Linked DNA regions of Alligator mississippiensis. The protein of the gene in region 2 purifies or fractionates together with the protein of the main gene of each other region. This does not show direct contact. Links are inferred from orthologs where the notes say so. Each region holds a gene or a part of one and is shown on either strand. Other genes may lie near its edges.

Region 1 (3,741 bases), on a different chromosome or scaffold from region 2:
GCCCCGACGTGCCACCCACACCATGCCACCCAGAGCCCCGCCGCGCTGCCCCGCCGCCTGCACTGCAGAGCCCTGCTCCCTGCCCCAACGCGCTGCCCTGCCGCCCGCACCGCAGAGCCCAGGGCCCCGATGTGCCACCCACACCGTGCCACCCAGCGCCCCGACGCGCTGCCCTGCCGCCCGCACCGCAGAGCCCAGTGCCCCGGTGCGCTGCCCGCACTGCGCTGCCCGCACTGTGTCGCCCAGCGCCCCGACGCGCTGCCCCGCCGCCTGCACTGCAGAGCCCTGCTCCCTGCCCCGACGCGCTGCCCTGCCGCCCGCACCGCAGAGCCCAGTGCCCCGGTGTGCTGCCCGCACTGTGCCGCCCAGTGCCCCGACACGCTGCCTGCACTGCAGAGCCCTGCTCCCCGCCCCGCCGCGCTGCCCTGCCGCCCGCACCACAGAGCCCAGGGCCCCGATGTGCCACCCACACCGTGCCACCCAGCGCCCCGACGCGCTGCCCTGCCGCCCGCACCGCAGAGCCCAGGGCCCCGACGTGTTGCTCTCGCCATGCCGCCCAACACGATGCCCTGCGCCCTGCCGCCGCACGGCGATGCCCAGCGCCCGACGCGCCGTGTATCCCTGCCCGCTGCCCCGAGGCGCCCCCGCGCCCCCGCCTCGGGGAGGGGCAGCGATGTCACGGTGGCGGGCGGCCGCGTGCCCCGCGCATGGTGCCAGCCCCCCCGCCCCGCCCCGCCCCGCCCCGCCCCGCTCACCTGCACGGGGGGCCCGGCCTGGGGGGGCCACACCCCGCACGTGGCACGAGGGGGCACCCCGGGCTGCCTGGGCAAAAGGGGGCAATCCCGGGGGGGCCGCGCTCACCTGCCGCCGCCTGCGCCGGGGGGAGGAGGGGGGGGCCGCGGCTCCTTCCTCCCCCCGCAGGCCCCGCCCCCCCGGACTGCCCCCCATTGCCCGGGGAGAGGGGAAAGGGGCGGGGCGCGGTGCACGCCGGGCGTTGTAGTCCCGCGGGGCGGGGCGGGGCGGGGCGGGGCGGCGCGGTGCATGCCGGGAGACGGAGTGGTCGCGGGGCAGGCCGGGAGGTGTAGTGCGGCGCGGGGCGGCGCGGGGCGCGGAGCCATGCAGAAATACGAGAAGCTGGAGAAGATCGGGGAAGGTGCGGGCCGGGCCGGGCCGGGCCGGGCCGGGCGGGCGGGGGGGGGGGGCAGGGTTGGACCCGGGATCGGGCCCATCCATGCGCGGGGGCGGGGCGCGGGATCGGGCCCGCTGACCCCCCGCCCCGCCCCGCCCCGCCCCCCCCGCAGGGACGTACGGGACCGTGTTCAAGGCCAAGAACCGGGAGACGCACGAGATCGTGGCGCTGAAGCGGGTGCGGCTGGACGACGACGACGAGGTGCGGGGGGGAGGGGCACCGCGACACGTGGGTCGGGGTGGGGGGGCACGTGCCCCCCCTTGACCCGTGGCCGGTGCCGCCGCAGGGGGTGCCCAGCTCGGCGCTGCGCGAGATCTGCCTGCTCAAGGAGCTGAAGCACAAGAACATCGTCAGGTCGGGATCGGGGCCGGGGCGGGGTGGGGGTGGGGGTCCGGGCCCCGGCCCCGCCCCGGCTCACGGCCCTGTCCGCAGGCTGCACGACGTGCTGCACAGCGACAAGAAGCTGACGCTGGTCTTCGAGTTCTGCGACCAGGTAGGGCCGCGGGGGGCCGCGGGGCCCCCACCCCCGCTGTGACCCCTGACCCGACCCCTGACCCCGCGCTGTCCCGCCCAGGACCTCAAGAAGTACTTCGACAGCTGCAACGGGGACCTGGACCCCGAGATCGTCAAGGTGGGCGCGGGGCGCGGGGGGCGGCGCTGGACCCGCGTCGGCGTCGGTGCCGGTGCCGGGCGGCGCTGATACCGCGCTCCTCCGCAGTCCTTCATGTACCAGTTGCTGAAGGGCCTCGGCTTCTGCCACAGCCGCAACGTGCTGCACCGCGACCTCAAGCCCCAAAACCTGCTCATCAACCGGGTGAGTCGGGGCGCCGGGGCCGGGGCCGGGGCCGGGGGGGCTGGCAGCGCGCGGGGCGGCCGTGACGCCGCGCCGTGCTCCGCAGAACGGGGAGCTCAAGCTGGCGGATTTCGGCCTGGCCCGCGCCTTCGGCATCCCCGTGCGCTGCTACTCGGCCGAGGTGAGTGCGCGCCCGCGGCCCTCGCGCCGTGCGGGGCACCCCCACCATGCCACGGCGCGTGGGGGGACTGCCTTGCACCACCCCGCACCTCGGTGCTGCCGGGGTCGAGCGCCCACCTGCCCCCGCCCCCCGCGGCGCCCTGCCCCCGTGCCCCTGGCCCGGGGGGGTGTGCGGCGCACTGCCCGTCCGTGCCCCGCAGGTCGTCACGCTGTGGTACCGGCCCCCGGACGTGCTCTTCGGCGCCAAGCTCTACTCCACCTCCATCGACATGTGGTCGGCCGGCTGCATCTTCGCAGGTGCCGGGGCGCGTGGGCCGGCGGCGCGGCGCGGCCTGGCTGGGCTGGGGGCCGGGAGTCTGCCGGCTGCCCGCTGACCCCTCGCGCTCCTCTCCGCAGAGCTGGCCAACGCGGGGCGGCCCCTCTTCCCCGGCAACGACGTGGACGACCAGCTGAAGAGGATTTTCCGATATCCTTGGGTACGAGGGGGCGGGACAGGGCGTGTGGGGGGTCTGTGGCTGCTGGGTGTCGGGCCTCATGGCCCCAAGGTCCCTTCTGGTCCCGTGGCCCTTAACTCGGCCGCCCACGCTGCTGGGCACCCCGACTGAGGAGCAGTGGCCAGCCATGACCAAGCTTCCCGACTACAAGGTAGGCAGGGGCAGCTGCCTGGGACAGGGGCGAGGGGCAGGGAGCCCCCGGACTCACGCCGCCCGTCCCCGCAGCCTTACCCCATGTACCCGGCCACGACGTCGCTGGTGAATGTGGTGCCCAAGCTGAATGCCACCGGCCGGGACCTGCTGCAGGTGAGAGCGCCGCCCCGCCCCGCCAGGGACTCGGCCTCCGCGGCGGGCACGGCCTCGCATGCCTGGGGGGCCCCGGGGTCGTCGTCTCCTGCCCCCTGCGCAGGGGTGGCTGTGCGTCTCTGGCTCCTGCTGCTCCCATGCTGGGGAAGCCTCTCCAGCTGGGCCCCGAATCTGCAGCCCCTGCCGCCCCACCCCGTGCTGCCTTGTGCCCTGTGCGGGCATAGCTGGGTCCCTGCCAAGCGGGGCGTCCTCGGGGCTGCAGCACGTGGGGTGGGAGCCAGCTGCCCCTCTGCCTCCTCTCAGCACCCCCCTTAGCCAGGCCACCTTGGACCCCAGGCTGCCCCAGCTCCTGCGGTAGGGGTGGGTGTCCCGGGGGTGAGGGCATTGCTCCCTGCGGCCGGGCCAGCTCCCTGCTCACGCCACCCCCTTTGCTGCCTCCGCAGAACCTGCTGAAGTGCAACCCGGTGCAGCGGATATCGGCCGAGGAGGCGCTGCAGCACCCCTACTTCACAGACTTCTGCCCCCCCTAGCCAGCCCGGCTCACACCCCGCGCCCTGCTCCAGCACCGCGGGCTGGGGGTGGGGGTGGGGGTGCCGTCTGCGCCGTGCGGAGCAGGCAGATTTTGGGGGGCAGGGCTCTGGCCCCCATCAGGACTGACCCTCCCCTGCCCGTATTTATTAGGTTTCTAACCAGTTGCATTCCTGGCTTGGCTGCAGCCCGGGGAGCACTGGGACCGGGGCAGCTGTAGCCGGCACTGCCCTCTTTCCAGGTCCCCGTAG
Region 2 (3,741 bases):
GAAGTGAAGGCTAATTCTCCTGAATGAATGGTGCACAATTATGCAGAGGCCCTATGGGCAGATGTGAGAAAGTCAAGAGGTCCTATGGGCAGATGTGAGGAAGTCAGCCGCAATTTCTTCTCTGGAGCCTTTTTTGTCCCTCCCCCCCTTTCCCGATCTTGCTTCCAGTGGTCTGTCTGCATTGGGCGGGATTGGATTTGGGTCTCCCGAGGAGGTGAGCCCCAAATTACCAGTAATTCGTCGGGCCTGATGGAGTTGTCGGTGTAAATGCACAGCTTCTCTGCCGTCAGCGGGATGGTTTCCTTCATTTTCGAAGCCACGAACATGCAGGTCGCTCCCAGCAGCTGCAACCGGCTCTTCTTGAGGGGCTCGAAGGACAAAAACCTGTCCAAGTAATTCATAGCCAAGGGGAACACCTCCTCTTCGCATTTCTGCTCCTCACAAACCTGCCAAACCAGAGAGGTCGTTGAAAGGAGGCCTGGCATCAATAGGGAGTCAAGCCCCACTCCCTTCCCTCCCCCTTTGCGCTCGGGCTGCAGGGCTGAATATTGGGGAGAGGAGGGGATATGTGAAAATGCCCTGAATAAAACCCATGTGGGAAGGGGGAGGATGAGAGGAACAAAACTGAGTGAATGGGGGGAAGGCTACGTAAAAATGTGGGGTTAAAAGAAAAAAAAAGGGGGGGGTCATTCCCCTGGATCGATGGAGTGGGGGATCCACAGGACCCGGTGGATCCCAGCCGGGTGGGATCCCCTCAGCAGCGCTGCCAGCCGCCGGGGGCGAAGCCGCACTCCAGACACAAAGGTGGCGTCCGCCGGCCGCATTTCCCCAGACGTCATCTTTTCAAAAAATATTTAAAAATATTTAAAAAATCTCCCGAGCCTCCTCAAGGGCCTGAAAATGCCCCTCGGGGGCGGCTTGACCCAGCCGGCTCGGCAAGCCGGGCGGGGAGGCCGGCACGGCGGTCCCCCGAAAGCAAAACCCCGGGTCCCCCCCGCTCCCCTCCTCCACCCGGCCAGCCAGCCGCGTGCGGCGGCAGGGACCGCGCGGGCCGCCTTCAGAAATTAATTAAAAATAGTCGGCGGGCGCCCAGCGCGGAGGGGCGGCCACCACAATGTGGCCCGGGCTCCGGGGGTCGCGCTGCCCGGGCCCCACGGCGGCGCCCGCCCGCACGCCCGTCCCCAGGGGGCTGCGGGCCGCCTGCCCCGCGCCGGACGCCCCGGCCGCAGCGCGCCTCGCGGGGGCACCGCGCCTGCAGCCCCGCGCCGCCGCCAACAAAGGGCCAGGGCCCGGCCCCCGACCCCGGCCCCCGACCCCGGCCGCTTTGCAGTATCATTGATTACCCCCCCCCCCCCAAAAAAAAAAAAAAAAAAAAAGCGAGGGAAAGAACAAAGATGGCGCGGAATACTGGCACGGCCGGCGCCTGCATACGTGTACGGGGATATTCATTTAAAATTAAAAAAAAAAAAATCCCCCCCCCTTAAAGAGGGGGCGAGGGGGGCAGGACGCCAGAGATGGAAACTTTTTTTTTTTTTAATTCTGATTTTATTTGGGGGAAGGCGGGGAGGAGGTGGATTTGCAAGCTGGGGGGGCATGAAGACCCCTTCAATGCAGCAGGCTTGGGGGGGAGCCGCGCTGCCTTGATGGTGCGGCTGGATCCGGAGCCGGGCACGCTGCTGCCTCCCTCTCTCCTTCCCTCTCTCCCTCCCTCCCCGCCGCGGGATGTCCGGCGCTGCTGTAGGGTTTCGGGGGTCTCCCGGGGTCCATCCCCTCCGGGCTCCGGCAGGAGCGATGCCCCGGACATACGCACCTCCAGCATCCAAGTGGCCACTATTTTCCGCATGTAGGGCAAGATCTCCTTTTGCACGCACTTGAAGTAGAAGCCCGAGGGCGTGCAGGTCTCCTCCGCCTTCAGCATGGCCAGCAGGACCCTGTCATTCAGTAGGTTGGCGTCTAGGTAGGCTCTTCGGATGGTTTCCACCTCGCAGCACAGCAGCTGATGTTCCATGTCTGCCTCCTTCTTCCACAGTCAGGTTTCTAAAGGACTGACTCAAGGCTCGTCCCTCTCTCTCTCTCTCTCTTCCCCTTCCAGGAGTCCCTTGGATGCTGCTTGCTGCTACTGCCGCTACAGCCCTCTGGAGGCTGAAAAACTTTCCAACTTCCAACAAAACTCTCCTGTATAGTTTAGTCCCTGTGACGTGACTGTTGTTAAGCAGAGATCAAAGCAGCGGAGAGAATGAGAGAGAGAGAGAGAAGCCAAAAGCAAGGGGCAGAGCCCTAAAGCCATCCCATAGGCTTGGAGTCCTTCCCCTTTGCTTAGCTTATACAGAAGCAGGGTTTAATGCAAATGCAAATGAGACAAGGGCTTGCTTTCTTCAAGGGCAGGGGAGAGGTGGGGGAAACCCAAATTGTCTCTTCAGTGTATCATGCATAATTTTCAAAATGGAGAGAGTTGGGCAGTGGGAGCTAAATGATGAATGGGACTAGGCCACACACAGACACACGCGGATATGGACACAGGGGGACCCTCTTCAGATTGTTTTATTGGGGGGTAGAGGGGAGGCAGCACCATAGTGTTGTTGTTGTTGCTATTCTTCATCGTTTGTCATATTTCAAAGAAACTCCTATTTAAAAGCACTCCCAACCTGGAATATGCACAGGCGGAGCATTAATAATCCAAAGGCAGACTTGTTCTCCATTTTGCCTTCCTGGTTTAGATTTAGATTATATCTTTGAAAGTTAAAGGAATGTAGGATCTCCTTCCTTGGGGTGGGGGGCTTTTAGATTTTACCCTGCCAAAAGGATTGGGGGACACAGGGTGAAATCCATTTAACCCTAACCAAACAGCAGAGCAAAGCTCCACACCCTGCCCCCGCTACACGCCACCACCCAGAAAAAAAAATCTCAGCAGTGCAGCAAAATGGTGGCCAGCATTTCCTCCCACACAGTTAACACCTAAAAGAAGAGGAATCCAAGGGAAGGTGCCAGGATCCAGGGAGTTACCCAGGGGCCGATCCCAAGCTCACGGAGAGGGGGAGTCCGTCCTTCCACAGCTTAAATTTTTGTTGATGTGGCTCCAGCAATAAGTTGTCAGTTCCTCAGCAGATTGAGGCTGTCTATATCTTTAATATATTTTGGGGCAGGGGAATGAAACACTTGTTTATCTTCTTTCCTTTGAACCTAGATATGTTTTTTGGGGGAAAAAAGGGATCAAGCATTTGGACTCCATGTTTTTTGGGCTCTTAACAGCAAAGCTCATGGCAAAACTCACAGTGACTTCAGTGGAACTAGAATTTCACTTGTTTGGGGGGAGACTGTAGATATATCTGTAGATGTACCTTTCCTTTGCTGGAAAGGTTTCCCACCTCCTAATGTGGGCACGTAACAATAAATAATAGGTCCTCAGACCCCAAACTGCCGTAGCACTCCTCAGAGCATCATCAGTATGCTGAAATAGATGAGCATGGTGGCTGTAGGTGGCTTGCTGGAGTGTTAGGTCCGGGTCTCCCCTTCAAGATGTATAGTGAGCACTAGTACAGATCATAGGGCATAAAGCTGCAGCTTCCCACATGTACACAGTGTCTCTTTGTGAGCTCTCCGCATGACGCTTGCCTTTACTTGTATCTTATCTACATGATGATGACATTCAGAGGATCCAAGGAGGATCTAGGCTACCTGTGTCTTCCCCACGTGTGCGCCTCATAACCAGACTTGCCCAGAAGAGTTATGAAAGGGGGAAGC
Region 3 (3,741 bases), on a different chromosome or scaffold from region 2:
AACATCTCTGAAATCCCATCTTTGATGATCATGAAATCGACCCAAACCAAACTCTAGCAGGGTCTTTCCTATCCTGCTGTACGGGTGTGAAACCTGGATGCCATGTTGGAAGCATCTGGAAGCTTTGGAAGATAATTGCTGGTGATGTTTTCAGGAAATTCTCCATCTCAACTGGAAAGAAGAATGAATGCTAGCTTTCTGGATCAAGGAAGCTCTACCAGAATTGAAGTTGTGTTTGTATGACGCTAGCTTTATTGGTTAGAACGTTATAAGGGTGCCTGACAGCCAGCCCCCGAAACAGGTCCTATACTCCCAACTCACTGATGGTCACTGCTCTAGACTCAAATACTGAATCACCCCCATGTACAAGGTATGAAACTCACCTCACTACAGAGGTGGATAGAGGAGAGACACAAAGAGAGAGCTGTGACCTGATCTGCTCCTTCCTCCCAGAGCTACTTCTCATATCTGCAGACAACATGAGGATCTCAGACTGGGCTCCTCAGCCATCTCGGCTCTCTGAGGACTCCCCTATTCACCAAAAAACTATCCTTCTGGTAGTGGGGGGCTGCCAACATTGTTACCTTAGAAGAGCCAGTATCAAAAATCAAAGGTCCACCAGGGCCTAATGGTCCCTCAGACTAGCATGGTTAAGGCGTGCAATGGGGGCGTGTGACTACTTTGTCCAACCTCCGCCAACTCCCAAGCTTGAATGATGGAGCAGCCATCTCTTGCTGGGCTGGGTGGACTGCGTGGGGCGGGGGAGCTGCGGCTCAAGTCCAGAGCAAAACTCCAGCTGGTTTCTGGACACACAGCAGGCCGAGGGCCAGCCCCAAGCGCGCGCGCCCTTCGTGCAGTAATGCAGTAGTAGCGGCTGCCCTGGCACCAGGTCACAAGAGTAAAGGCTTCAAGAACACGCGGAGCAGACAAGACCGAGCTCCTTCTGCAGCAGAGCGTCTCCGCCAGCGCGGGGACACTCCTGGCGCGGCGGCCCGGCCCGGCCCGGCGCGGCACACCGGCACGAACAGCTCCAGCTCCGCGGACTAGCGACCGGCAGGGGCGCAGGTCTGCGCCGGCTTCCTCCAGGCGGGGGCGGGGCCGCAGCAGGGACCGCCCCGCCCCGCCCCGCGCGGGAAGGACGCGGTCTCGCGAGGGCCGCGGGGGGCGGGGCGCCGGCCATGGCGAAAACCGTGGCCTATTTCTACGACCCGGACGTGGGCAACTTCCACTACGGTAAGCGCGGCGGGGCGGGCAGGAGGCCCCGGGGCAACCCCTCTCCGCTGGCCGAGCCGCGTGCGTGGCCGCCTCCCCCGTCCCCTGTCAGCGCCGAGGCCCGGCCCGGCCCGTTGGCCGTAAGCGCCGAGGCGGCTCTGGGGGGGCGCGGGTGGCTTGGCCGAGGCAGGCAGGGCCGGGCTGCTCCTGGGAGGGGAGGGCTGCGCGGCCGGAGTCAGTCGGGTCAGCCCCGTGGTGCTGCGGCCCCTGCTCACTGGGAGCCCCGCGTGTGCCTGACTCACCCGCTCCTCCCTCCGTGTGTTGCAGGGGCGGGACATCCCATGAAGCCTCATCGCCTGGCGCTCACTCACAGCCTCGTGCTGCACTACGGGCTCTACAAGAAGATGATTGTAAGCATCACGGGCGGAGACCAGCAAGACTGGTCTGCTGGGGCTGGTGGTCCTTGCCTTGCGCAGTCTTGTCTAGGAGGTAGACGAAATAGTTACGTCTAAGTGTGCCTGTGAAGTGCAGTCCAGCCTGAGCCATTGTAGCTATCAGTCTAGAACAGGGGTGGGCAAAATACGGGCAAGTGACTGGATCTGGTCCATGGATGCCCCTGTGGCAAATCCCACCTGCTCCTGCTGGCCCAGGGCCAGATCTTGACCGGTGTGCACAGCTCCCAGTGGGGATGTTCCCAGTGCTGCTGCACTTCCCTCACCTCCGGTGGAGCTGCCAGCTGAAGCGTCCCTCTGCTCTTCCAGAGTGGCACAGCAGGGGCGGGAGCTGGAGGCAGGGCAAGCAGAGCAGCACCTGACGAGCTGGAAGCTGCATGCTGTGGGGCTGTTCTGCTCCCCGCATCTCCAGTTGCAGCTCCTGCCCCTGGCACAGCTGTGGACTGCACTGCCTGGGTGAGCTCTGCTGCATGTGCATTTTCCAAGACCTTTCCCGGGGTAGAAGTCAGGCTGATGGGCCTGTAGTTTGCTGGATCCACTTTCCTCCCTTTCTTGAAGATAGACACCACATTGGCCTTCTTTCAATCTTCGGGCACTTCATCAGAACACCAGGAGTTCTTGAAGATCTTTGCCAGGGACTGGGCTATGATGCTAGCCAGCTCCTTGAGTACCCTGGGGTGTAGATTGTCAGGGCCAGCTGACTTGAAGGTGTCCAGCCTCTCAAGGTGTTCCTTCACAAGGTCAGGATTGATGGAGGGCAAGGAATCTCCCTCACCCAGGTCATCCCTGACCACTATGGGACAGGGAGTCCCGTGGGATTGATGAAAGACTGACACAAAATACTCATTTAGTAAGCTGGCTTTTTCCTTGGTGTCGGTTTTCAGTTGTCCCATCTGTTTTAACAGGGGTCCAATGTTGCCCTTTCTTTTTCCTCTGGCTCCCCACTTATCTAAAAAAGGACTTTTTATTGCCCTTGATACTTGTAGCTGGTTGTAGTTCATTTGTAGCCTTGGCTTTCCTCATTCGCTCCCTGCAGGTCCGGACCAATGCGGAATATTCCTCTTTGGAGGTGGATCCCGTCCTCTATTCTTTGTAGGTCTTTCTCTTTAGCTGCAGGAGGTCTGCTAGTTCCCTGGAGAGCCAAGGGGGCTGCTGTGCCCTTTTGCTGCCTTTCCTCCGAGATGGAATAGCATTAGCTTGTGCATCAAGGATCGCTCCCTTGAGGAGCGACCAGTCTTCCTGAACTCCCCTCCCCTATGGGTCGTGGTCCCTTAGGGCTTCACTGGCAAGCCTCCTCAGCTTGTCACAGTCAGCTTTCTTGAAGTCAAGGACTTCTGTGTTGCTGTCTTGCCAGCTTTATGGCAGATGGTGAAGGTGATCAGCTCGTGGTCGCTGTCACCCAGCTTCCCTTTGATCGTTAGATTGCTCCCAGTTGCCAGTATCAGGTCGAGCAGTGCTTTACCTCTCCTTGGCTTGTAGACTTCTTGTGTCAGATAAATGTTGTGCGTGGATGACCTCTACCTTGATTCCTGCATCTAAGCATTTTGTGACCTGGTCATAAAAAGAAACAAGGTTAGTCAGGCAGGATCTACCTGCTATGAATACGTGCTGGTTGCCCTTTAGCATTGCTTTCCCTGCTGGACTCCCACAAATGTGATCCTTAATAATTTTTTCAAAGGTTTTCCTGAGGATAGAGGTGAGACTAATCTGTCTATAGTTACTTGGATCCTCCTTCCTCCCCTTCTTGAAAATAGGGACTGTGCTGGCCCTTTTCCAGTCCTCTGGGACCTGACTTGAGCACCAAGAGTGCTCAAATAGCTGTGCCAGTGGCTCTGCTATGACACTGGCCAATTCCTTCAGCTGCCATGAAAAATGGAGAACATATTTTCTCCATCATTACATTGGATGGGATGCATAGCCATGGCTTGGAGTTCCAGGTTTTGATTGGATGCCAGAGAAAAAAACATTTATAAACAGCTGAGATATTCTAAGCAGCATGCCATGTGGACCACGCCAGTGCAAGCCATGGGCTTTCCAGGCCTCATGCTTTACAGGGAATCCTGCCCCATAACCACTG

What was found.
Region 1: the proteins of CCND1 (region 2) and CDK5 purify together in Homo sapiens (co-immunoprecipitation; 4 studies listed by BioGRID and IntAct, counting the BioPlex papers as one, with this or other methods). This does not show direct contact. The link is inferred for Alligator mississippiensis from reciprocal best matches to the Homo sapiens genes CCND1 and CDK5.
Region 3: the proteins of CCND1 (region 2) and HDAC3 purify together in Homo sapiens (affinity purification with western blotting; 5 studies listed by BioGRID and IntAct, with this or other methods). This does not show direct contact. The link is inferred for Alligator mississippiensis from reciprocal best matches to the Homo sapiens genes CCND1 and HDAC3.

Annotation. Positions count from the first base shown.
Region 1 is NC_081828.1:220,005,319-220,009,059, reverse strand, and holds the start of CDK5 (cyclin-dependent kinase 5), read left to right. Parts: upstream 1-1,043; 5' UTR 1,044-1,116; coding exon 1,117-1,153; intron 1,154-1,301; coding exon 1,302-1,390; intron 1,391-1,475; coding exon 1,476-1,543; intron 1,544-1,621; coding exon 1,622-1,682; intron 1,683-1,763; coding exon 1,764-1,820; intron 1,821-1,907; coding exon 1,908-2,003; intron 2,004-2,088; coding exon 2,089-2,163; intron 2,164-2,362; coding exon 2,363-2,459; intron 2,460-2,558; coding exon 2,559-2,628; intron 2,629-2,746; coding exon 2,747-2,807; intron 2,808-2,881; coding exon 2,882-2,962; intron 2,963-3,405; coding exon 3,406-3,492; 3' UTR 3,493-3,741. UniProt on the Homo sapiens protein: Proline-directed serine/threonine-protein kinase essential for neuronal cell cycle arrest and differentiation and may be involved in apoptotic cell death in neuronal diseases by triggering abortive cell cycle re-entry. Interacts with D1 and D3-type G1 cyclins.
Region 2 is NC_081825.1:215,201,242-215,204,982, reverse strand, and holds the start of CCND1 (G1/S-specific cyclin-D1), read right to left. Parts: upstream 2,250-3,741; 5' UTR 2,009-2,249; coding exon 1,811-2,008; intron 447-1,810; coding exon 231-446; intron 1-230. UniProt on the Homo sapiens protein: Regulatory component of the cyclin D1-CDK4 (DC) complex that phosphorylates and inhibits members of the retinoblastoma (RB) protein family including RB1 and regulates the cell-cycle during G(1)/S transition.
Region 3 is NC_081832.1:40,858,557-40,862,297, forward strand, and holds the start of HDAC3 (histone deacetylase 3), read left to right. Parts: upstream 1-1,117; 5' UTR 1,118-1,178; coding exon 1,179-1,233; intron 1,234-1,239; exon of another isoform or gene 1,240-1,352; intron 1,353-1,539; coding exon 1,540-1,622; intron 1,623-3,741. UniProt on the Homo sapiens protein: Histone deacetylase that catalyzes the deacetylation of lysine residues on the N-terminal part of the core histones (H2A, H2B, H3 and H4), and some other non-histone substrates.